Caenorhabditis elegans: one gene and its partners. The protein of the gene in region 2 purifies or fractionates together with the protein of the main gene of each other region. This does not show direct contact. Each region holds a gene or a part of one and is shown on either strand. Other genes may lie near its edges.

Region 1 (9,605 bases), on a different chromosome or scaffold from region 2:
AAAAATATTAAAATTTCCGTTTCAAAAATTTCGGTTAAGTCTAAGTTTTTTAAACTTATTCTATTGTTGTATTTTCCAATTTTCGTTAAAAGTTGCAGCAACTTGCCTTGCCAATCTTCAGAAAAAGTTTTAAAAGTTGATTTAATGTAAAAAATATTATGTTATTACGGGAACAATAAATCATGATAATGCGTACTTGGAGCATTTTATTTGACGCGCGATATCTCTTAGCGAAAACTACAGTATGAACTCAAATAACTATTGCTATTTGAGTTCTTACTGTAGTTTTCGCTAAGAGATATCGCGCGTCAAATAAAATGCTCCAAGTACGCATTATCATATTGTTCCCGTAATAACTATACGTTTATTAAAAAAAAGATAATTTTTCATTTTTTTTTTTCAGGCAATGCGGACTATGTTGTGGTGCCGAAATTCGATTTAGTTCCGGCATTAGTTTGTATTTATTTGTACATGATTGTTAGTATGATTGCTACAAATATTGAAGTGTAAGTTTTTTTTTCGAATTTTTCCCCTGTTTCAAAACTAAAATTTCTTTTAAAACATCTAAGCGTTCCACTTATCTTTAATCAAAAAAAAATTTCAGAATGTCTACTCCATTGACAACTGTTCTCTACGATTGGAAAGATTCTCAAGCGATTTTGTACAACGGGATTATAGAATCAATTACCTGTATTGTGTCGGTTTTGATTAATTTTGGAATTGGAAAAACTAGAATTGGAAAGATGTGAGTTCTTTTTTTTCTAGAATACTTGTGATTTTTCAAATTAAATAGACACGGGGAATTATGTTCTAAAAAAATTTCAATTTTTTCACTGTTTCACTGACCAGCTTTCAGCTTGGACAGCATTTCGTGTTCACTGATCTTTACGGGCTTACGAAGTTTTCTAAAAAAAAATATTGTGAATTATTGCTGTGACAGGCGCTCAGCGTGTTAAAATTTTTTTTCAGCAAATTTTCAAATTTACAAACAAATAGAAAATCTAACAGTTTCACATCCCCTATTTCAGTTGGAAGATTTTTTTTCGATTAATTGTTAACTGCTTTTTGTCTCATATTGTTATAACATATTTTCAGTGACAAAAGAATTCAAATTCTATTCGGATTGGGTGTATTCGTCGCATTCCACGTGGTCAACTATCCATGGTGGTTCTACTCGGGACCTCTGCACTTTTTGCCGCCAGGTAAGGGTCTCGCCGCGAATTGATTTTCAAAGTTTTCTCAGAAGTATGATTTATTTGAATATATGGAATCTAGAATATGTTCCACAGTGACTGTTCTGGAAAATGTGAAACATTTTAGTTTTAAATTATACTGATTCTAGGTTCCAACACAACTATTGTCGGTGGATGCCTTGATTCATATTCATGGTGCAACACGACAACTCGTGTCCCTATGGCTCTCTACATTTTTGCATTTGTCTTCTTTTTCGGAATCGCTTTCCCATTTGTCGAGTCACCGGCCGCCGCACTTTATTCAGAGATTTTGGGTCCACGGAAGCAGGGAACCATGCAGGGATTGTTCAGTTTTGGTGGAAGTATCACGCCATTTGTTGCTTCGATTATTATCACGTAAGTGTTAATTGACTTTAAACTAATTATTTAAAATAGTCTGAATTTGAGTTTGGATGCATGAGTATTTAGAAGGATTAGTATCGAGAAAGAGTTTAAATTTTATTTGTTAAAAACTTGAAACAGAAAAAAAAATTATCACAAAAACCTTTTTTCACGAAAACGGATTTTTCTTCTAGTACTGTTCAATTTGATATTCTCCATCCTCAAAGAGTAAAATTAAAAAAAAAAATTTCAGATTCCTATTCCAACATTCCGGCTACAAATACGTCATCATCCTACAGTCAACCACAATTTTCATTGCATTCATTCTGATGGGTGTATTCTACAAAAGACTTGTTCCATTGAAATTAAGACCAAAGTCTGGAAAGTCTGCAGAGTATAAAAATGGAGTTTATTATTATATGTAAACTCTATTTTCATGAAAACACGGAATCAAGATTCTAACATACATAACCAAGTTTTAATTCATTTTTACACATTTTCAATTGTTTTTTTAGATGTACCACAAGATCTCACTATTCGAATTTTCATATGTTTAGTCGTTTTTTTTTTCTTTAAATTTAAATAAACTCATAAGTATTTCATATTCCTTTGTTCAATTTTTTCGAAAAATAAGCGCTGATTGGTTCGAAAATGGGTGGGGAACTCTATACGTGTGTAGAGTTTTTCTCAGAAACTCGATTCAAACTGCCTCCAAAATCCAATTGTGCGTCAACTCTCGCGATGTGCGCCAGCAGCTGTCTGCGTCAATGGAGCGCGCTTGCATTTTCTGCGTTCATCGCGATTTTTTTCTGCGTTCAGTACTCATTTTCTGCGTTCAGTACTGAACCACCGTGCATCGTTTCTATTTTATTTTTCTCCGCATTAATCAAGTTTTCACCATGTTTGGACAATTTTATTCAGGAGAATTCTCGAGAATTTATTAAAAAACAAAAAATAAGAAATTTTAAATAGATAATTTGCAGGAATGTTCCGTAGGATACCCCTCGGGAGGTTTCTGACGCGAAAAATCCATAATCAAACCAATGGGCTGATTGTTAGTCATTTTCCACTGATTAAAAATAGCTTAAAACTGATTTTTCCACACACAGGTTCCAACAACAAATGTTCAAAAGCAACAAAAACGACAGATTCTGTTCAAAATGGGGAATGAGACGCCGGCGCGAGTGGTTGGATATTATGTTGTGTGAGTTTTTTTCGAAAAAGTGATAAAAATTTACATTTTAATTTTCAGATTTCCCGTAATTCCCGAGGAAACCGTGGAGAACAACTGCTTCATGTACAATATCGCTAAAAATGAAGATTGGCCGAAATTGGCCACCGCCGAGCCCAGGGTAGCTAATTTTTCTGGATAAAACTTTAAATTATTGGTTTTTCTTCAGGAACTGTATGAAGGAACCGTTCGAATGCTCATGGACTACGGAGCCACTGTAATGGAGCACATGGAGCATCTTGCAACGTGTAAGATCTGTGAAATCTGAGAAAAAACCAATTTCAAATGTATTTTCAGTACCAGCAGAAGAGCGAAAGTTTGAAAACGTCGTAGAACCATTGCTTACGGAGGAATACGAGGTCAATTTCGCTTTCCAGACACTTGTGCTGAAAATGCTCACGGATTGGCCTGATTGTAACCGAAAACTCTTCGATGCGGACCTTCACCATGTAAAATAACAGAAAATTTCATGAAATTAAGTGGAAAACCTAAATTTTTTTAAATTTTAGATCAAAATCATGTGTGCCCGCGATCAAATGGAGAAGTTAACCAACAAGGACTTCCAGGACGCCATCAAGCAGCTTTATGAGGCAAAAGATGGACTTTCCGAGTGGCAATCGAGACTATTGGAGTGGTATTTGCTCGAGGTGCCATTTTAAATATTTTCTAACGAGAATATGCCTGAAATTGACTGGAAAAAGTGTTTTTCACCGATTTTGAAATTAAAAAATTTGATTTCTGCTCAGAAATCATAGAGACTGTAGTTTGCTAAATAGAAAGCATCGATTTTAACTCAGCAAAAGGATATTCCGTCTAACTTTCCCAGGAAAATTGTAATTTTTCAGCTAAGTTCGCGGATTTTCTGGCTGAAATAAGATCAATTTGCAGATAAAAGCTTCTGGATTGGACAAACACGACGATAAAACGCGTAAGGTTCTCGGATCCTGGAGCAAATTTGTCGACGAGTACAGGAGCAAGTATATGTGAGTTTTAAATGGAAGTTTTCAGCTTTTAAGCGGCTTTTTTTCAGCACCGGCGTGATGTCAACCAACGATCAGCAGACATTTGTCGTGACGGACCAAAAAGTGATAAAAGATGCACCTCCACATGTTTTACAGAAGCTCGCTGTTGATGAGTAGGTTTTTTTAGTAGCAATTGGCGAAATTTTTTTAGTAGCAATTGGCGAAATTTTGTTGAGAATTCGTTGAAAAGTGGTATTTTTAAGCTAAAAATCGAAAATAAGCTCCAAATTTTCACAATTTTTATGCTTTTCACTAGAAAAAAATTGAAAATTATCAGAAAATCGTGAGAATTATTATCAAAAAGTACTAGACGAAATTGTAATTTTTTCTGCAAAAAAAAGTGAAAAGGTAAGAACTTTCTGTAAAATTTTTCAATTTTCTCTAACCATTAAAAATGCTCAATTCTCCAATTTCACTCAAATATTCCCACTTTAAACTAAATACTAATTCAGACTAATTTCTTTTTTCAGACAAAACTGGGAATCAGGACCATGGCGTGGACGTATGACACCTCACACAATCTACCCATTTATGCAATATTGTGGAGATCGTCAATTGAGAGCCACCGCATGGGAGAAATGGACGAGTAAAGCTGGATTTGATCATGATTTCTACAATAATTCAATCAATATCGAGGAGTTGAGACATAATAAGTAGGAATCCGATAAGGAAAAATAATTGAAAAATGGCTGAATTTTTCAGCGAAGGACTCGCCAAAACGCTTGGATATTCATCTGTTGCTGAGCACCGACTTGCGAATAAAATGGCTGCCTCGCCGGAGACAGTTAGAGGATTTATCAATGCGTGAGTTTTAGAAAAAATACTGAAAAATTGTTTTTTTAACGCTGAAAATTTCCATAAATGTGAAGATTTTATTTTAAATTCAGCTTTTGACATTTTACCAAAAAATAGCCGGAAAAAAATTTAAAAAGAACCCAAATCTAACAGTTTTTGACAAAAAATTTTTATTTATACCGAAAAGCATGATATTCCAAATTAAATCAACTTTTTTCTTGCAGTCTTCAACGTAGAATCCGGCCTGTAGTGATTGATCGTATGGAGTCCTGGTCCGCATGGGCTGGACGTTGTGAGCTTATCACTGGCGAGCTTCAGGCCTATGATATGCCATATGTGTGCAGAAAAGAGGCAGAGCATCATTATGAGTAGGTTTTTTTTTTGAAAAAGTATTGCCTGCCGGCCTACGCCTGCCTTTCAAAGGGGAAGTCGTAAAATTTGCAATTTTTTGGTATTTTTAGAGGTATTCGGATGATTTGAAGCTTTTTTTTTCTAAACTTCTAAGTGTTACGAATTATCGGAAATTCAAAAAAAAAGGTTTTCAGATTTTTTTTTCAGTTGAAAAGCTCAAACTTTTCATTTTTTCGGTAATTTTAGAGGTATTCAGAACATTTTTAAAAAAATTTTTAACTAATTTTTTTCAGTGTCAACCCACTGGACCTAATGAATCACTTCCCATTCTGGCCAACATTCCAAAATATAATGGGAGTCATCGGACATATTTTCAATTTGGAATTCAAAGATATCACCGATAAGGGACTCGAAAAAGCGCATGCTGACGTCCGGATCTACTCGGTTGGCGACAAGTTCAGCGGACAACACTATGGAAGATTATACATTGATCCATATGATCGACAGAATAAACGAGGAGGATGGAATGTTATGCTTGCGAGACGTAGGTTTTGAAGAATGCTGAAAATTTGGAGAGCTCGAGAAAAAATTTGGAAAATCACCTGAATTTGTATCGAGTTTTTTAGAAAAAAATTAGAATTTAGACATTTCCTGTCGGAAAATTCAGTTTCGATTTTGTTTGAAAACTGAAAATTTTTGATTTTTGTATTTTTGGAACACTTCATTTTTTCCATCGAAAAAAATATGAAAAGACAGAAAAAGCGAGGGAATTTTAAAAATTGTCTTTTTAGAATAAAAATTAGAGGAAAAAATTCTCCTCGTTTCAGACTATCTGGCTTTTTTTTCAAATTATTTTTGCAAAAAAATTCTTTCGAAAAACGTTAATAGAATAAATTCTGTTCAAAAATAACTGCAAAAAACAACACAGGTTAGTTAACAAATATATTTCCAGCGGAATCCAAAGAACGAGGTCTCGACAAGATTGTGTACTTCATCGGCTCAGCAATTGCTCCAACTTCCAACGGACCGTCTCTTCTCCATCACCAGCAGCTTCAGCAACTTCTTTTCCATGTCAGTAGTCGAAATTTTGGGTTTGAATTTAAATTTTCGAAATTTCCAGTTTGGCCGAAGTGTGCAGCTTCTTCTATCACAATCTCCATACCGTGATATTTCAATTCCATGGTCTCCATTCTACGCATCTGACTGGGATGCAGCTGACATGTTCCCAACATTCTTGCAAATGTTCGTCACGAAGCCCAATCTCCTTGCAACAATTAGCTCTCCGCATCAGGTATTTTTAGTCGAAAATTCTTGAAATGTCTGAATTTCTGTTTCAGATCACAAAGCAATCGTTGACCGAAGAGCACGCAAACTCGGTGGCTCTTACGATCTCACGAGCATCACTCTGGGAAACCTACCGTACCCTCTTCTGGTCGGACTTTGATCTGTCGATTTACGAGATGGAGGACAGGAAGCAAAAGTTCTGGCTGGATATGTACAAACAAATGTATGAGGAGTATTTCCCGTTCAAAAGAGCCAAAAATGACTATCAACCGTGCTCATTCACACCGATTTTTGCTCTTCAACCACATATGAGCATGTATTATAGGAAGCTGTGGGCTGAGGTGAGGTGGTTTTCCAGTGTTAGAAAATCATCAGAATTTTGATAAATACTTTTAAAAAAAATTATCTCAATTATTTCTGAAAATTGGCTCAATTTCCAGATGCTCGCCTTAGATATCCATGAGACATTTGACGAGGAAGACAATGAAGTGCAAACGGGAGAACGATTGAAAACGACAATATTGAATAGAGGAAGTGGAGATGTTGCGAAGGAATTGTTCAAAAGATTCCAGGTAGGGGAATCTTCTTTTTTTGACTGAAAAATTGGTGAAAAACGGCATTAAAATAAGCTGAAAATCTTAAATTCTGCATGGAAAAATCTCAAAAAATCGTATTTTTTTAAAATTAGAACGCTTTAATTGAACTCTATTTTTACAAGAAGAATTCTAAAAGAGTTCCAAACAATTACTTTCATTTTTTAAATTCCAGAAAAATGAAGCCATTATTTAATTTTTTTTAAAGAAAAATATTCATTTCCATTTTTTCAGGGCCGAAATCCATCAGTCGGAGCCATCTGTGATCACTACGCCCCACCAATGGCCATTCAAGATGAAATGGAAATGTCGGAGAATCAGAGACGATGAAAATTCCCCCCCGGTTTTTGGAGATTTTCCATCTCTTTTTCGCTTCTCACCGGGTTTTCACATATGTTTAGATGATTTTTTTTCTGTTTTTGTTATATTTTTTTGATAGTCTTAAGAAGAAATAGGGTCTCATAGATTGTTCTCTGTTATTTAATGTTTTTCCCCTCATTTTTAATTTTTGTTTTACTTCAGTAATGAATTCTTTTCTTTTTGAAAATTTATCGTTTTTTGAGATATCGTTTTCCAACGATTGAAATATTTTTGTTTTGAAATTGAAAAAAATGTTTATGTTTTTTATTTAACAGGAAAAAAATTGAATTTGTTTTTGAAAATTACCTTTTCCAGGACATTGTGTTATTTTTTTAAAACCAATTTTTGAAATTTTTACTTTTTTTTGGAAATTAAAAAAAAAACGATTATTCCATTTTTTTTTTGGATATTTTTGAGCTGAATTATTTTTAATTTAAATTTTGCTCACTTTTTTGAACAAAAATTATAATTTATTGATCAAAAATTAAAATTTATTCCAAAAACTAAATTTTTCCAGGCATGTCATCTGGCCCAGCGACCTCCGGCTCATCATCGGCTCACACCGAGACCCAAGTGGTGGATGAGGTAACATTTCCGCGAAAAAACCCACTAAATCTGACTAAAAACCGTCTTTTTCAGATTCCGGAGGCACTCAACACTATATTGCTGATGGTGGTAAAGAACTTCTTCTCAAGTGTAAGCGAAAAATCTGATTTTTCAAAAAATTCTTGAATTTTTAATTTTCCAGGAGCACTTTATCATCGTCTACCACATAATGCGAGCCCAGTGCATTCGCGAGGAAAATCTCAAAGCCCGAATACAATTCGATCAGAAAATGCTCAGACAGGTGTGCTGAAACTTGCTTGAAATTCGAAAATTCAAAAAATTTGACAATTTCAGCTCCTCGCGTCTCTGAAAGCTGAAAAACTCGTGAAAGAGCGCACGATTACGCAGAAAAACGAGAATAATCGAACGGTTTCCATCATTTTCTACTATATAAACTATCGGGCTGTGCTCAACGTGGTGCGCTACAAAATCGATCACATGAGGTGTGAAAATATAATTTTTTCACTGAAAGTTTAAAATTTTCCAGACAAAAACTCGAGTCCCGAGAGCAAATGGACACAAATCGAGCTCACTATCGATGTGGAGCGTGTCAGAGTTCTTATGATGTGAGAAAATTCTTTTAAAATAGAAGAATTCTCTGAAAAAATCATATTTAGATGCTGGAAATCAATCGGATATTGGACGCTGAAAGCGGGCGGCTTATTTGCTGGCGGTGCCACGGAGATGTGTTGGCGGATGAGACGGTAGTACCATCGAGGACGACGAGGTACTTGGAATATCCTGAAAATCTGAAAATTCGGAAATTTCTGGGTTCTGAAGCGAAAATTATTATGAATTCTGATCGAGCTCAAAGCGACGAATTGAAAAATTTTCAAATTGACAGATTTTTGAATTTGTTAAATTAAATCTACAGTACTCTAAAATTTTTTGCAATTTTGAGCTCCAAAAAATTGATGAAATTTTACTGTTTAGGGTCTCCTTTCAAAAAAAAACTTCGGGTTACTGTATCTGCATATATATTTTTTTTTATTTTTTAAATTTCCAGAACCGCTGTGGCACGCTTCAACGAACAAATGACACCGCTCTTCTCTCATATTTGTGCTCTAAACGGTATCCAATTGGCTCCGCATCTCCTTGAACCGGATATCACGAAATATTTGGAAGATGACAAAGAACTGCAACTACAGCAACAACAAATGGACTTTACGTCGGGTGGAGGTGGTGGTGGACGGATACAGTTGGGAGGAGTCGCTCATTCTTATCAAAATATCGCTTCGATCAATTATCAGAATGGAGATGCAGTTTTTGTGGATTTAAATGCGGATATTAATAAGTTAGTGGCCATAAGTAGAAAAATAAACTTTGATTCTTAATATTTCAGGGGTCCTGTGGAAGAAGCCAAAATTATGCCAGAATGGCTCAAGGATAATGCAATAGGCGGTGGTGAAGCTTCACACAATGAGCATGTACTGGATCAGGCCAAGTACTTTTAAATGGCTTAACTTTTATATTTCAACAATGAAACCTTTTTTCAGAACCGAGGAAGAAGAAACATCAACGAAACAGCGACGTTATGGACCATCTCTGGACTATCTGAAGGAGATTGAGTGCAGTTCGGAGGAATCTGCTCCAAATGTCAAAATTGAAGAGCCACCTGCCAAGCAAATAAAGATGGAAGTCGACGAGGAAGCTATCAAAATGGAAGTTGACAACGACGAAAGTGAGGAGGAAGACTTGATCCACGTGGCGGGGCGAGCACTTCCGCTGAGCCAAATCACACCTCGAATGGTCGAGAACGAGATGAGTGAGCTGGAGAAGGAGAGCTATT
Region 2 (6,366 bases):
TAAAGATAAGAGAAAAGAGCTGTGCTCCTTCGCTCCTTGGCTCCCAGGCTCCACTGCTCTGAAGAGACGCAGAGTATATGTACTACAATTATGTGACTAGTGATAACTTTACGAAATGAGGAGAAGAGATGAGGAGTCAGAAATCAAATGAGCTTTAGGGATCAATTTTTGAAAAAAACATTTTCTGAAGTTTACTTCTGGAAAACTGAAAGGACTTATATATTTTCAAAAAATTGGTTCGGTTTGGAACAAGATTCACAGATTCATCTCAAATTTCATAAAGGCTGACGTAATTCTCGGTTTGGAGAACTTGCTGGTTAGTAGGTGCGCTGTAATTAATTCCAGAAACTCAGAAGTTTTAGTGATCTTCACGGATGTTCCCTATCAAATTCGATCAATTTACTCTTTGCAAGGCTTCTCTAGAACACAATTCAAGGCTGATTTTCCAGTTTGATCTGGAAAAGTACCGTTGCAGATTTTTAACTGCTCGAGTAGCAAGAGACAGAAGTCGTCTGTCTTCTGACTTTTTGTCTTATCACCCGCCACTGATTGCTCATCGGCGTCTCTATCAGGCACAAATGAGTCCAGAGAGCACAAAAAAGATATGTGTTAAAGTCAAGATTTTGAAAATGCACCTCCGCACTGCAATTATGTAGATTAAAAATATTTTTCTTTTAGCGGCTGAAAGTGGGATCTTGGTAAGGTTGTGCTTTGGTGTATGGATCTTTTAGACTCCCCAAAAAAGTTTTAAACTTTCGCGATTTGAAAATGAATATCCAGATAAATTTATTGCCATCGGTGTGCCTTACGTGTTTCCATTTGGTTTTTTCAGGCATCTTGGATTTTGTGACATTCTTTTTCAAGTAGAATTCAAGCTCAAACAGCCTATAAAATTGACATCACGAATGGGTCAAAACTACCCGCTCAAAGTATCTGAAAAACTGAAAAACCCCTCACACTCTTCCTTACCTCCTTGTCCAAACTTCCGAACACAAAAAGAAAACAAGCTGCCTGACGAAGTATACTGATCACGATTTTGAACGGGGTATCAAGCTCGCTGATCAATCTACCTCAGCAGGTAACGTTTCTCGGAATATGTATAGCTGGAGTATCTAGAATGAGACAGAGAATGAGCTTTCTGTCTGAAGTGGAATTATGTGCGGTGAAGAGACGAATCTCCGCCCCGTGTACTTTTTGAGGGCTAAAAGGATTTCAGCGCCAATGGCTAGGGCAGGAGAGTGCTCGAAAATAATTTCTTTTATTTTTCAAGGTAGTTTGGTATAAACTGAAAAAATTGAGAAGATTCCGAGCTAACTGATAACTTAAGCCTCATATATTCAATTTCAGATGTGAATTTATTTTCCACTTACAGAATTTTCACTTTTGTACCATGTATTGTGATTAGGGTGAGATTGGGCGAAAGTCTGATAACTCAAAAACTAGAGAGATAGCAAAAAATTGTCAATTAATAAATTGTTTATCTTAAAATTTTACACATTTTATTAGATGACAACTTTTTTCTAGGTGTCCCCCAGTTTGAGATACATGGGATTGAATTTAGAGGACAGCACCGCAAGATACTGGTGGATTAAAACCGTTGAAATGTTTTTTCTGCAACAAGACACTTCCCAATAAACATTCATTCGTATTTTCTTTGACTCAAGTTCAAAACACAACGGATTAGTGCTCGATCACCTCCTCCGCTCGATGCACTTTTATAGTTCACCCCGCCAAAATCTATGGCATTTTATAGAGATGTTTTAATACAAATTGTTGGTTTCTTTTGTCTGGAATCTGATTGATGTTTGAGTATGACTAAACCACCAAAATCTGGGTTCAAGATAATTAATTATCTATAAAATAAAAATATTTGGCTAGAAAAAATTGAGCAAAGCAAGTCAGAAGCTGAGTCACCGTAGACGACCTCAGATTATGTCACAGTGGAAGAATTGTGGCATCTTTGTGGCGGCAGAGATCACAGTACCAAGGTTTTTGAAGTTTGATCTGTGGAAGTTCTGGACAATCTAGAACCAGTTTTGCTGTACCTCAAACTTTGTCCGGTTCTAACTCCGAAATTTGTTACGATGCTCCCTCCATCTATCAGATGTTCATCCACCTTTGGCTCAGTTTGCTGTAATTAAAATGCCCTATAACCAACACCTCTCGCGCATTCATTATCTATGTGGTGCCTGATTAATTGCAAAGAGCAGGTGTTCTGGATTTGGACTCTCTTGAGAATCTAAAAGCCGATCTCATCGAGGAGATTTTATGTGCTCATCCGCTAATAGCCTCCAGGAGGGACTTTCTCATTCTTGACTGAAATTTTCAGCACCTTAAACGTTTGGGCTGAAATTTGGACTCTCCTGTAAAGCTCAAATTTCACCGAAAATCTGGAAAACTCGGCCCGTGTAATCTACACCAAACTGTAAAAAATTTCCTATTCCTCGAGGAGATAGAGCGAGAGACAGAGAGACAGAGACATGCGGCAAATCTCTGTTTAATCATGGGTTGGTGAGACAGGACAATGATGGTCCTCTGGCCTCCCCCCACTCCCTCTATCTTGATCTCTCGATACGTGCTCTCTCTCTCGCTGTCTCCGTGGAGAGGTAGGTCACCCCGGACACATCTGCCACCCTACCAACCGACCCCTCCGGGTGTCTCATTTGGTTCATCGATTCCTCTTTTTTTGTTGCTGCTGTCGTGATTTTGTGATTATCTAGTTTTTACAGAGATTACATTTTTGAAATTACTGTAGTTTGTAGTTTCTTGCATAATTTTTATAATTTGTCTGCCTGGCTTTCATGCAGAAATGGAACAACTTCCAAAAAAATTGATTTTATTATTTTCTCCTGCAAAGGTATACCTAAACTTTTTTATGGATTCTGTAGTATTTGTAGTTTGTAGTTTTTGCAGTAACTTTATGTTTTGCACTATCACTTCTTATCTCATTGTGAAACCTTGGAATTTTTGGATAAGTGTGCAAAGTACAAAGATGTTTCAGTTCAGCAGTTTTGTAACACAAACTTTATTTCTTGATTCTTGTTAACAACGTTTATTGCTAGAAAGTTCTGTACAATTTTTCAGTTGGTATTTTTGCAGGCCGTAGTTTGTAGTTTGTGGTTATTGTAGTTTGTAGTTATTGTAGTTTGTAGTTATACCAACTCCCAAAAAACATTTGAAACTTTTGAAATCTTTTCTCCAAGCTTTCATAATTTTATTCAGTTTCAGACTGTACATAGTTTTATTTCTTGGTTTTTATTTTTTTGATCCTTCGTAGTTATTTTCTCAAACAACTTTACTTCCAGGAAATGTCAAAACTGACGGCAGCCTACAACAAAACCCGCGAGTGCGTGGTCACTCGCTCTAAAATCATGATGGGCTACCCGGAAGCTCGCTACCCAACCATCCCGAAGATCCTCAAGAAGACGGCGGACTTCCAGAAGCTTGAAGGTTCTAAGGATCGAATTGCGTTCACCCTCTCCCAGGAACCAATTGCCGATAAGAAATGCACCGAAATGATCAAAAATGTTCTTCTAGAACAATTCCAAGACACCGATATCCCCGCCAACTACATCGCCGTGTCAATGGCTTTGCCAAACTTCAAGATCGGCCAAAACTGTCATGACTTCCAGCCTCTGGACTGGTACAAGAACATCAAGGGGTACTTCACATATAAAAAGATCACCGAACAAGTCCAAGCCGCCTACTTCAACGATGAAGCGGGGAATCAGTTCCTCGCCGGCGTCTGCTACTACGCGACTCCCGCCGGCAAGTGGGTCGCCAAACTTCAAACCGAGCAAACTCTACTGCGATTTGAGTTCCAGAAAGCCGAACCGTTCCCCTTGAACAGTAAAAGTCGTTTCGACACGAAGGCGTTCAAGAAATTCGCGAGATACGGGAGATATTGTGAGACGGAAGGCTGTCGAGTTTTAGTTTGGGTAGGAAAAGCCGATGGTCAGATTGTGCATCTGAACTATCATCCTGTGTACTGCATGCAATGGACTAAAGGATGTGCTGAGTGCGCCAAGGATCACTTTGAGTACATGTGGATTGCTCCAGAAGGTATGTTGAACAGAATTACGGTCGTTAAAAATTTGGTTAATGGCAGTATCAGCTTTGGTGGCTTGTTGAGCTACAAAATATGTGTTCTTTGTTTCTCTTTAGTTCTGTGATTAATATACAATTACCAAATTGCTCTAACATATCTTGATTTCCAACGGGTAAAGACTTCTAATTTGTATTTCTATCTTGTTTGGCAATAAAAAATTTTTTAAATCATCTTTAAAATAATCTGAGATATGAGCTCCCGAGCACTTTGAGGAGTCTAGTAAGATGTTCATTTTTTGCAGAGCCCGTTGTACAAAAGAGCAAGGAAGAAGATTATATCTTAAAAGCTCCCGAGGACAAGGATCTCAGCGATTTCGACCAACTAAGTGACGTTCTCAACGTGGATGCGATCTCATTGCACTGACTTCTGTATTTCTTGTACTTTTGCGTTCTCATTAAATGGGCTTTATTGAAAATGAATATACATATTTATTAAATTGTTGAAAATTAGAAAGACGTCAAATTGGACCTCTGTAGTCTGTAGGCCAGACTGTAATTTTAGTCTTTGGAGTTACAGTCTTTGATTGATCAGTCCTTAGTTGTTCAGTCCTTAGTTGTTCAGTCCTTGGAGTTATAGTCATTGGTGCTTCAGTCGTCGGTGCTTCAGTCCCAGGAGGTACAGTCATTGGTGGCCCAGTCCGCGGAGGAACCGTCTTTGGCACTTCTGTCCTTGGAGTTATTCTCTTTTCAGTCGTAGTCTTTGGTGGTTCAGTCTTTGAAGTTACAGTGCTTGAAAGTCCAGTCTCTGGAGTTACAGTCATTGGTACTTCAGTCCTGGAAGGTCCAGTCATTGGTACTTCAGTCCTTGGAGCTTCAGTCTTTGGAGGTACAGTCTCTGGTGGTAAAGTCATTGATACTTCAGTTCTTGGTGGCGCCGTCCTTGGTTGTTCAGTCTTTGGTGGTTCAGTCATTGGTACTTCAGTCCTGGAAGGTCCAGTCATTGGTACTTCAGTCATTGGAGCTTCGGTCTTTGGCGGCACAGTCCTTGGAGCTTCGGTCTTTGGTGGTTCAGTCCGTGGTGGTACAGTCATTGGTACTTCAGTCCTTGGAGCTTCAGTATTTGGAGGTACAGTCTCTGGTGGTAAAGTCATTGATACTTCAGTTCTCGGTGGCGCCGTCCTTGGTGGTTCAGTCTTTGGTGGTTCAGTCATTGGCACTTCAGTTCTTGGAGCTTCAGTCATTGGCGGTTCAGTCCGTGGTGGTACAGTCATTGGAGCTTCGGTCTTTGGCCGCACAGTTCTTGGAGCTTCGGTCTTTGGTGGTTCAGTTCGTGGTGGTTCAGTCCTTGGAGCTTCAGTCCTCGGAGGTATAGTCCTTGGAGGTTCAGTCCTTGGTGGCTCAGTCCTTGTAGTTACAGTCTCTGGTGCTTCAGTTCTTGTCCAGACGTTATTACATTGGTATTTTTCCATGGCTTCAGACAGTTTCTTAAATGTTTTTCAAAGGTGAAGTAGCCCCCTTAATTTTTGGGAGCTCTTTCCGGCATCCCTTTTTTTCGGAAACTGTAGCACCAAAATTAAATCGGATCGACTTGATTTGGGGCTAAAATGTGCCACAAAAAAGATGCAGGCAAGGGCTTCAAAAGTTGGCGGGCCGCAAAAGACTACAATACGTGCACCAAGCTTAAATCTCCAGTGACCACAAACCTTTAGAAAACGTGAAAAAGACAATTTGTCACAATTACACTGGATGTCTTTCTTGAACACACTGAATACAGCTGACTCATTATTATAAGTTAGTGCGGCCACAGTACAAAAGTCCAATACTTCAGTGAAGTTTTTCGGGGGCGCCCGATTACCGAACCAGGCCATAACCAGAGTGTCGCCCAGTTTTGCGTAGCATTTGTCTTCAATCAATGGCATCGTGTTATTCACTCGTGGTGGGGGTGGGGATGGTGCAAATAATCTTGATTGTTGCTGCCAACAATAAGGTATATTTGGTGGTTCAGTCGTTGGTGGTTCTGTCTTTGGTGGTGTCGTCTTTGGTGGTTCGGTCTTTGGAGGTTCAGTCGGTGGTGGTTCGGTCTTTGGTGGTTCAGTCCGTGGTGGTTCAATCTTTGGTGGTTCAGTCGTTGGTGGTTCTGTCTTCGGAGGTTCAGTCCGTGGTGGATCTGTCTTTGGAGGTACAGTTGTTGTTGTTACAGTGGTTGTTGTTGGTTTGGTGGTTGCCGCTTCGGTAGCCCCGTCGTTATCGCATGGGTATTTTTTGATGGCTTCTTCGAATTTCTGAAAAAAATAATGCCGGTGAGGGTTTCATTTTCCA
Region 3 (7,035 bases), 7.1 Mb from region 2:
TCTCCTGGAATCTTCTAGAACTTTTGAGATGCGGATATTGGACTATTGTAAATATGAATTGTACTTTAAAGCATTCAAAATAGTCTATAGATTTACATTGGACATTTTCTAATCAATTCTTCAAATACTTATTTTCAGCGTTGGATCAAACCGACATGGTTCAAATTCCCAACACTCCAACATTGGTTGCCGAGGAAAATGTACGATCAAGCTTCCGATCTCTCTTCATCTTTAGAATATCAAATCATTTCAGTTGAACCACAAACGCTCTAAAGCAAATCTCGTGGTGGCTCAAGAGTCTGTCGCAATGGAGCACATCGCTGCTCATCAGCTTCCAGCTCCCGAGCCACGTCATCGTGGACCGGCGATTAAGGATAAGCCGGAGAGAAAGGATCGTCTTCCGACGGTTGGAGAATATTTTGAAAATGATAAAGGAGATCGTTTCATTTTGCGTCAGAAGCTGGGCGATGGTGCAATGGGACATGTTTTTCTGAGCATTTTTGGTGGCAGGTTTGTAGCTTATTTGGTTTTTTGCTCTTTCCAAATCGCGGCAACTTTAAAAGAAGTGCGTCACGCGAACTATTCCACGCAAAATTTATGTGGTTTTCTGAAAACTACCACATCGTACCATGGGTTCATAATGCCCTTTGAGGCATTATGCGTACATCTCAAATAAATGTCCTATTACTTTTCCAGAATTGTAGATCATTTTCTAGTTTACTCACTTCATTAAATTTCAGAACAAACCAATAATAAACTTTCTGAAAATTAGCTCCTCTGAATTGAATCTCTATGAAAAATGAACTATTTCAGAAGTGTTGCAATCAAAGCCGAAAAGTATTCAACAGGGATGCTTCCAATGGAAATTAAGGTTTTGTTGAGTATCAGACGCCACAATGGAGTTCATTTCTGTGATATCATTGATTATGTAAGTTATATCATAGACTATGAATTCATGGATTTTGGATTTTGGATTACAAAATCAAAAAAACGTATCAAACTTTAGGGAACCATCCGTCGTGAATACAACTACATGATAATCAGTATTCTTGGAAAAGATCTCTACCGTCTTCGTGCCGAACAACCGACTCGTTCATTCACTCTCAATACGACTACAAAGATTGCTCTTGAAACTATTGAAGCTATTGAAGAGCTTCACAATATTGGATACCTGAGCCGTGATGTCAAGCCAAGCAACTTTGCTCCAGGACAACGCGACAATGGACAGCATAAGACAATTTTCATGTTTGACTTTGGACTTGCGAAGAAGTTTATTGATCGTGATAACAAGAAGCTGAAGTCTCGTGGAGAGGTTGGATGGAGAGGTACTGTAAGATATGGAAGTCTCCAAGCACACAAACGTATGGATCTTGGAAGACGTGATGATGTTGAATGCTGGTTCTACATGCTCATTGAGATGTTGGTTGGAGAGTTGCCATGGCGTCATATGTCTGATCGTACACTTGTTGGACAATCGAAGCTCTCAATTCGAAATGAATCTCGTCGTTTGTTCTTCAATCGAACTCCAAGACAGTTTGAGACGATCATGGATATGATCGATGGATACTCATTCGAAATCAGACCAGAGTACAGACATTTGAAGGCATTGATTAATGAGGTAACTAAAATTAGTCTAGATGGATATTTTTAGTTAGATCCAAGCACTTTACTAATCACCTTTCTAATAAATTAGATAGTACCTAACGTTCCATATTCCTTACAATTAAACAATAATATGTTCTTTACTTTTCCAGATTCGTATGGAAAATATGATTCCTGATCGTTGCAAGTGGGACTGGCAAGTGGAAGAATCTCAACATTCGGAGCTCACCGAAACAGCTTCTGTCATGTCTGATATGGCAATTATGGCTGAACAAGGAGCTACTAACTACACTGATCGTGCCTGTGAGAGTATGTTTTATTGTTTTTATTTTCTATATCAAAATATACATTTTTCAGACCAATAGGCATATACTCGTCTCACAACTGTTCTTCATCACTACTCTTCTCATCAAATCTCGAATCGAATCGAGCACTTTCCAGTTCAATTTCCTCTTTCTCTCACTCTTTTCCAATCCAAAGTAAAGAACCGATTGCCTCTTTTTGTATTCATTATCATCATCGTCGTCGTTTGGTTTCAACTATACTACTAGATTTTTGTGCTGTGTAAATAAATGTATTTTTTTAAAAGTATTTTACATCTTATTGTAAGTTCCAACTATCACGGCGTTAGTTTCTTTCCCAAGTTTGGCAAATTGAATATTAACTTGGATTAGAAGTGGTTAAACCTGAGCCAAACTTTGGCAAAACATAGTCTCCTGGAATCTTCTAGAAGTGATATGTTGACGGAAAGTTGGATCAAACTTTGATTACACTTGAGTGAAGCGTGAACCAAGTTTTCCAACTTTCAATCTGAATTAATATTCTTTAAAATTGTGGTAGAGGAATCCGGCCTTGAAGGCAAGAATATAGCATGTCACTTTTCCAACTTTTTTCTTATTTTCTCAATTATTGAAATTTTAAAATGAAATTATAGTTATAGATGTAATTTGATATGCTTAATCCAATTATTATACTGATTTTTTGGTTAACAAGTTTGAAAATGTCTGGAAATCCCAGAATGAATGGATATCTCATAGCAGATTGGCACTGTACTCTTCTGAACAAATTGAATTTGTACCGAAGTTTCTTTTCTGATATTTTTTTTCGAGTAAAACAGGGGCAAAAATTAAGTTTTTCCAAACTTTTCAAGGATTTTAAAGCACTGCTGGATATTTCGATTGCGTGGATCTTAATAATTTTACAACATGTCGTACTCCACCTTTCAGCATTGGAAACCTATTTATTCAAGGAAATTAATAAACAAATTATTGTAATTTATGTTTACCGCATCAATCTTTACCATCGATTCAAGCTCATCATTCTAGCCAGTTGTCAAAAAAAACATATCCGCAGATGTTATCTTTGATTTATTTATTGGGAGAACATCTGGTTGTGTAACAGAGTCAACTGACCTTCTCCCTTTTCATTCGTCCAAATCTTCATTTCTTTTCCAAAATGCACCTCTTTCTTTCTGTTTTTCTTCTGCTTATCCTACCGTTAATTTCCACCTCAGCAGTTGAGAATAATCAAAATATTGTGGATTTTTCTGTGAAAGATTTCAACAAAAATATTAATTCAATCGATATTCTCAACAAAAAATGGGATATTGTTTCGAAATATGTGAAATTTAATGGAAACTCATCGAAATTGAATGGAAGACTCCGATTATCGGAAAAAATTGACAAAATCATTTTTAAATTGGGAGACGATGGAGCTAATCAGAGTAAGTTTTTTGAAATTTAAAAGTGGATTAGCGCCCTATGGTATGACTCCTATGATTCTAAAATGATAAATTTTCACAGTAAAACTTTGCGAAACTGGTTTGATATTTTTAATAACATTTAAAAATGGTATTGATTCAGTTCTCAACTGTTATAATTTTGGAATATTCGAATGTTCCAAAAAATTTATCTGAAAAAGTTCTGAAATCAAAAAAAAATTCTTCTACCAAATAGGCAAAATGTTTTCTACGACTTTTATATTTTAATCAAGTTAAGAAATATTTTTTGTTAAGAAAAATAGTGCAAGAACGTTCAAAATTTCCGAAAAAAAAACCGAGTTTATCGAAAATTTGGCAATTTGCCAAACTCTTACTGACTAGCAGCAATCCTCTTGTTTTCTAAAAATTTTAATTTTCAGATGAAATAATAGTTTCCTTGGGTAATAGAAATACAACTCATATGACTGTGCACACGGATTCATACAAAATGAAAGTATCCACTTCGAAGCAAGTTGTTCGGAAAGGTCTGTTGAAAAGGTTTTGAAAATTGTATTCTGTTTTACGTTGTTAACAAAGACAATTGCTCAAGCAGCCTCAAGCCAGCAAGCCAAAACAAAACTTTAAAAAACTGAAATTCGGAATGAGAAAAAAAAAATACATAAAGGCTAATTAAAATTGTAATAAACCTTTCCAGAACTGTCTCTGAGAACTGGTTCATCAAACGAGAACGGATGTGCTTGTGTACACGGAAATTGTGCTTGCTGCCTAGAAATTTCTGTTCCAGAATTCAGACATTCAGGTAATAGTTTTCCTTAAATTTTGTTTTCTTAATTTTCCAATACTTTTAATTCAGTTTGTGTCAATGCAACCTATAACCCAGTTTCCATTGGCTTGGATTTGTCGATTGGAGTTGATGGACATTATTTCAGTGAAGAAATATCTTGTATGTAAAGAACTTTAAGATGGAATACGCGGTCAAATGGGTTCCATATGAATATGTTTAAATAATTCTCAAATTCAGATATCCCACAAAAGGAATTCAGAAAAAGCGAGTTGAAACTACTAATCCAACTTTCAAACTCGCGAATTTCTAACTCTGCTAATTTTTTGCTATTTAAATATAAATTTCACAGAACTTTTGTTTCACATAAAAAAACAATTGTTAATAATTTTCAGTGAGAAACCCCCCACCAGTCTGTTTTTCTCTTCCGATTCCCGGCGCAGAGCACATTGCAGGAGTATGTGTGGCATTCACAAAGGTAAAATTGTTTCTGGTAACACGAAAATTCCAATTTTATTTATTCAGTTGGACTTGGACAAGAAGGAGAAAATTCTTTCCGGATGCATGGATTTCGAAGTGGAATTAATTCATTTAAGAGTTCTTACTTTCAAGCTTGGATGTTTTAGAATGCCAATCTGAAATTAAACAAATATGTTATGTTGTAACAGTTTGGTGCAAACTGTTATGTCAAATCAAACAGAAAAAGTTATGTTTTTTGGTTTTGCTCTTTGCTTGATTTTCAGAGACGAAGCTTCTCGTTCGTCTGCATTCGCTTATTTCATCGCCCATCTACACTCCCAATAGTGGTTTTTCATTTCTTCTACTGGAGATGATTCTGATAGACTTTATTTTGAGATGATCAAGTTTTGGGTGACAATGTACTCAACGGGAACAATATATCCAGAGTGACACAGGATTCAGTAGATAAACTGGGGTGATATTATTTTATTTGCCACGTTTGCGACGGATATTGACAAGATGAAAAATGTGTGAAATTTTTTTAAAACTTTTATTTTAAAAAAAGACTGTAGCAAAAGGGATATTGAGGAAATTGAGACCTTGAAGAGGATGTATGATCACATGTCGGTACTTGTAAAGCATGGTGACGACTGTCCAGAATCTGATGGGAAGGTTTGTGTGAATTGGATTTTCATAGTTAAAAACAACATTTCATATCTTTTCCGATGCTTTCAAAGCAGTTCTATCGGCAACAAAGATTGACGATCTCTATCCAAACTGCATGTATGACTCCATCCTCTGGAAATTATTCGCTGGGAAGTTAGCTTGTTCGCTGTTGGGTTGTGCTGAGGATTTGCGTGTCATCATTGGTCATCAGGATTTATGAAAACTATTGTATTTTATTGTAAAATTATTTTCTTTTTCTTCGATAAATATTAATTTTCAATCATTGTTTGTTTTCATATTACTTAGACGCGGAATTCTGAAATTTTTGCCTCAAAAAAAAAGATACCCGGTCTCGACACAACAATTTCCTGTAAAATACAAACGGATCTGAGCCTCTGAAGTTGATTTTTTTCTTCTTTTTTTTTGCCACCTAGCGAAACTTAATTGAAGCATATACTAATATATGAGTCATAACTTACTACAGGGTGACAATTAATTATAGCAACACAGTTCTCTTTTGTACAGACTACGGTAGTTAGATGTGTTCTGTGCCCTGTCGTAAAGAAATGTTCTTGTTCCACTCCTCCATAACCCTTGTGATTTGCTCTTTGCAATCAATCTTATTCCACTTTCATTGATGATATCTATTTTCTCTCTTTTGATATTTTCTTGCCAATCTTTTTGTCCATGAGATTTCTTTTTTCATTCATTCAAAAAATAATTTGAACAGCTGTCTCAAAGGTCCGTTTTCTTCCCCAAATGTTGTTTCAATATCACACCTCAAAGAGGCCAATTAAAATTTGTTGCTCTCATTCTCTTTCCGAATTTTCCCCTCTCATCTCGCAGTTTTTTGTTATTTTGTGGTTTTTTTTCGGTAGATTCATTTAGCTTTCTTTTACTGCAATTGTGAAAATAAAGGAACCAAGTTACAACTTCATCTATTTTGAGTTAGGTATCTAAGTGCGCCTGAAATGGCGCCAAGAAGATAAGAATCTTTTTTTGTGTAGAAAAACAGTGTTTGCAGTGGGTAAACCTATCAAAATCAGAAAATAATCAATTTTATCGAGCTTATTACGGAAATTTCTACAGTAATTATAGCACCCAACCAAGTTATCATAAAAAGTGGTAGAAATGAGGCATTCTAACGAACTTTTCGCAGAAGAAGAACAAAATATTTACGAACAGGAAGTTACAAAAGACTTTTGATACCTGTAGCTACGCTGAAATTTTTGTTTTGGCTGCAAGGTTTTCGTCCGAAACTGCGGAATTGCATATTCAACAAAAACTAACTAAAACGGGGTTTTTTTAATATTTTTCTTTTATATGTAACGTCAATAATCTTCTTCAAATTTCGCTCCAAAAACTTTACTTAAAAGTTTTTCGTATTCGATAAAATTACTGGAAGCCGGGATTTTGAATTTCAGAAAATCTGGCACGTGGAAAAAAAATACTTGGAAAATGGTTTTCAAAAAGTCGGAAAATAATCAGAATTTGTAGAATGAAAAAGTGTTAGTGAAGGCTCGGAATATATTATGCTAGATTTCCTCATTATGTTCCATACCTTTGAAATAGAATCTCATAAAAAATCCACGTGACAAATGCGAGAGAAGGTATCAAATTCCACGAGGTGTTCATTCTCCTTTCCTTCCGGTTTCATGTTTTATGACTCATTTTATGACACCCACACTATGTGGATTTCATGACGACACGAAACTTTGCAATTTGATATTTTTGTCTACTTCTAGACTTTTTTCTTCCCAAGACTAAAAATCATATTTTACTGTAATTGTCGAAAAGATCTGGAACA

What was found.
Region 1: the proteins of F33E2.5 (region 2) and eelo-2 fractionate together in Caenorhabditis elegans (co-fractionation; one large-scale study listed by BioGRID). This does not show direct contact.
Region 3: the proteins of F33E2.5 (region 2) and C09D4.2 fractionate together in Caenorhabditis elegans (co-fractionation; one large-scale study listed by BioGRID). This does not show direct contact.

What each region holds. Positions count from the first base shown.
Region 1 is NC_003282.8:17,247,574-17,257,178, forward strand, and holds eelo-2 (Peptidase M3A/M3B catalytic domain-containing protein), read left to right. Parts: upstream 1-2,557; 5' UTR 2,558-2,559; coding exon 2,560-2,628; intron 2,629-2,683; coding exon 2,684-2,778; intron 2,779-2,826; coding exon 2,827-2,926; intron 2,927-2,974; coding exon 2,975-3,053; intron 3,054-3,102; coding exon 3,103-3,254; intron 3,255-3,314; coding exon 3,315-3,452; intron 3,453-3,693; coding exon 3,694-3,788; intron 3,789-3,835; coding exon 3,836-3,940; intron 3,941-4,297; coding exon 4,298-4,480; intron 4,481-4,529; coding exon 4,530-4,631; intron 4,632-4,651; exon of another isoform or gene 4,652-4,778; intron 4,779-4,846; coding exon 4,847-4,990; intron 4,991-5,266; coding exon 5,267-5,517; intron 5,518-5,925; coding exon 5,926-6,044; intron 6,045-6,093; coding exon 6,094-6,264; intron 6,265-6,310; coding exon 6,311-6,598; intron 6,599-6,697; coding exon 6,698-6,829; intron 6,830-7,084; coding exon 7,085-7,180; 3' UTR 7,181-7,391; downstream 7,392-9,605. Other genes in the region: mfsd-8.1 (Major facilitator superfamily (MFS) profile domain-containing protein), read left to right, coding at 404-506, 605-745, 1,096-1,202, 1,343-1,589, 1,828-1,999; gtf-2E1 (HTH TFE/IIEalpha-type domain-containing protein), read left to right, coding at 7,730-7,795, 7,850-7,906, 7,959-8,057, 8,111-8,259, 8,304-8,382, 8,434-8,543, 8,823-9,110, 9,159-9,260 and 1 more.
Region 2 is NC_003279.8:12,589,291-12,595,656, reverse strand, and holds F33E2.5 (YqaJ domain-containing protein), read left to right. Parts: upstream 1-3,305; 5' UTR 3,306-3,308; coding exon 3,309-4,062; intron 4,063-4,349; coding exon 4,350-4,471; 3' UTR 4,472-4,541; downstream 4,542-6,366. Other genes in the region: F33E2.6 (DUF3707 domain-containing protein), read right to left, coding at 4,566-5,531, 5,751-6,329.
Region 3 is NC_003279.8:5,488,443-5,495,477, forward strand, and holds C09D4.2 (DUF4773 domain-containing protein), read left to right. Parts: upstream 1-2,981; 5' UTR 2,982-3,057; coding exon 3,058-3,325; intron 3,326-3,741; coding exon 3,742-3,846; intron 3,847-4,016; coding exon 4,017-4,121; intron 4,122-4,175; coding exon 4,176-4,265; intron 4,266-4,498; coding exon 4,499-4,581; intron 4,582-4,628; coding exon 4,629-4,742; 3' UTR 4,743-4,821; downstream 4,822-7,035. Other genes in the region: C09D4.3 (Protein kinase domain-containing protein), read left to right, coding at 139-200, 254-510, 814-928, 1,007-1,618, 1,755-1,911, 1,960-1,967.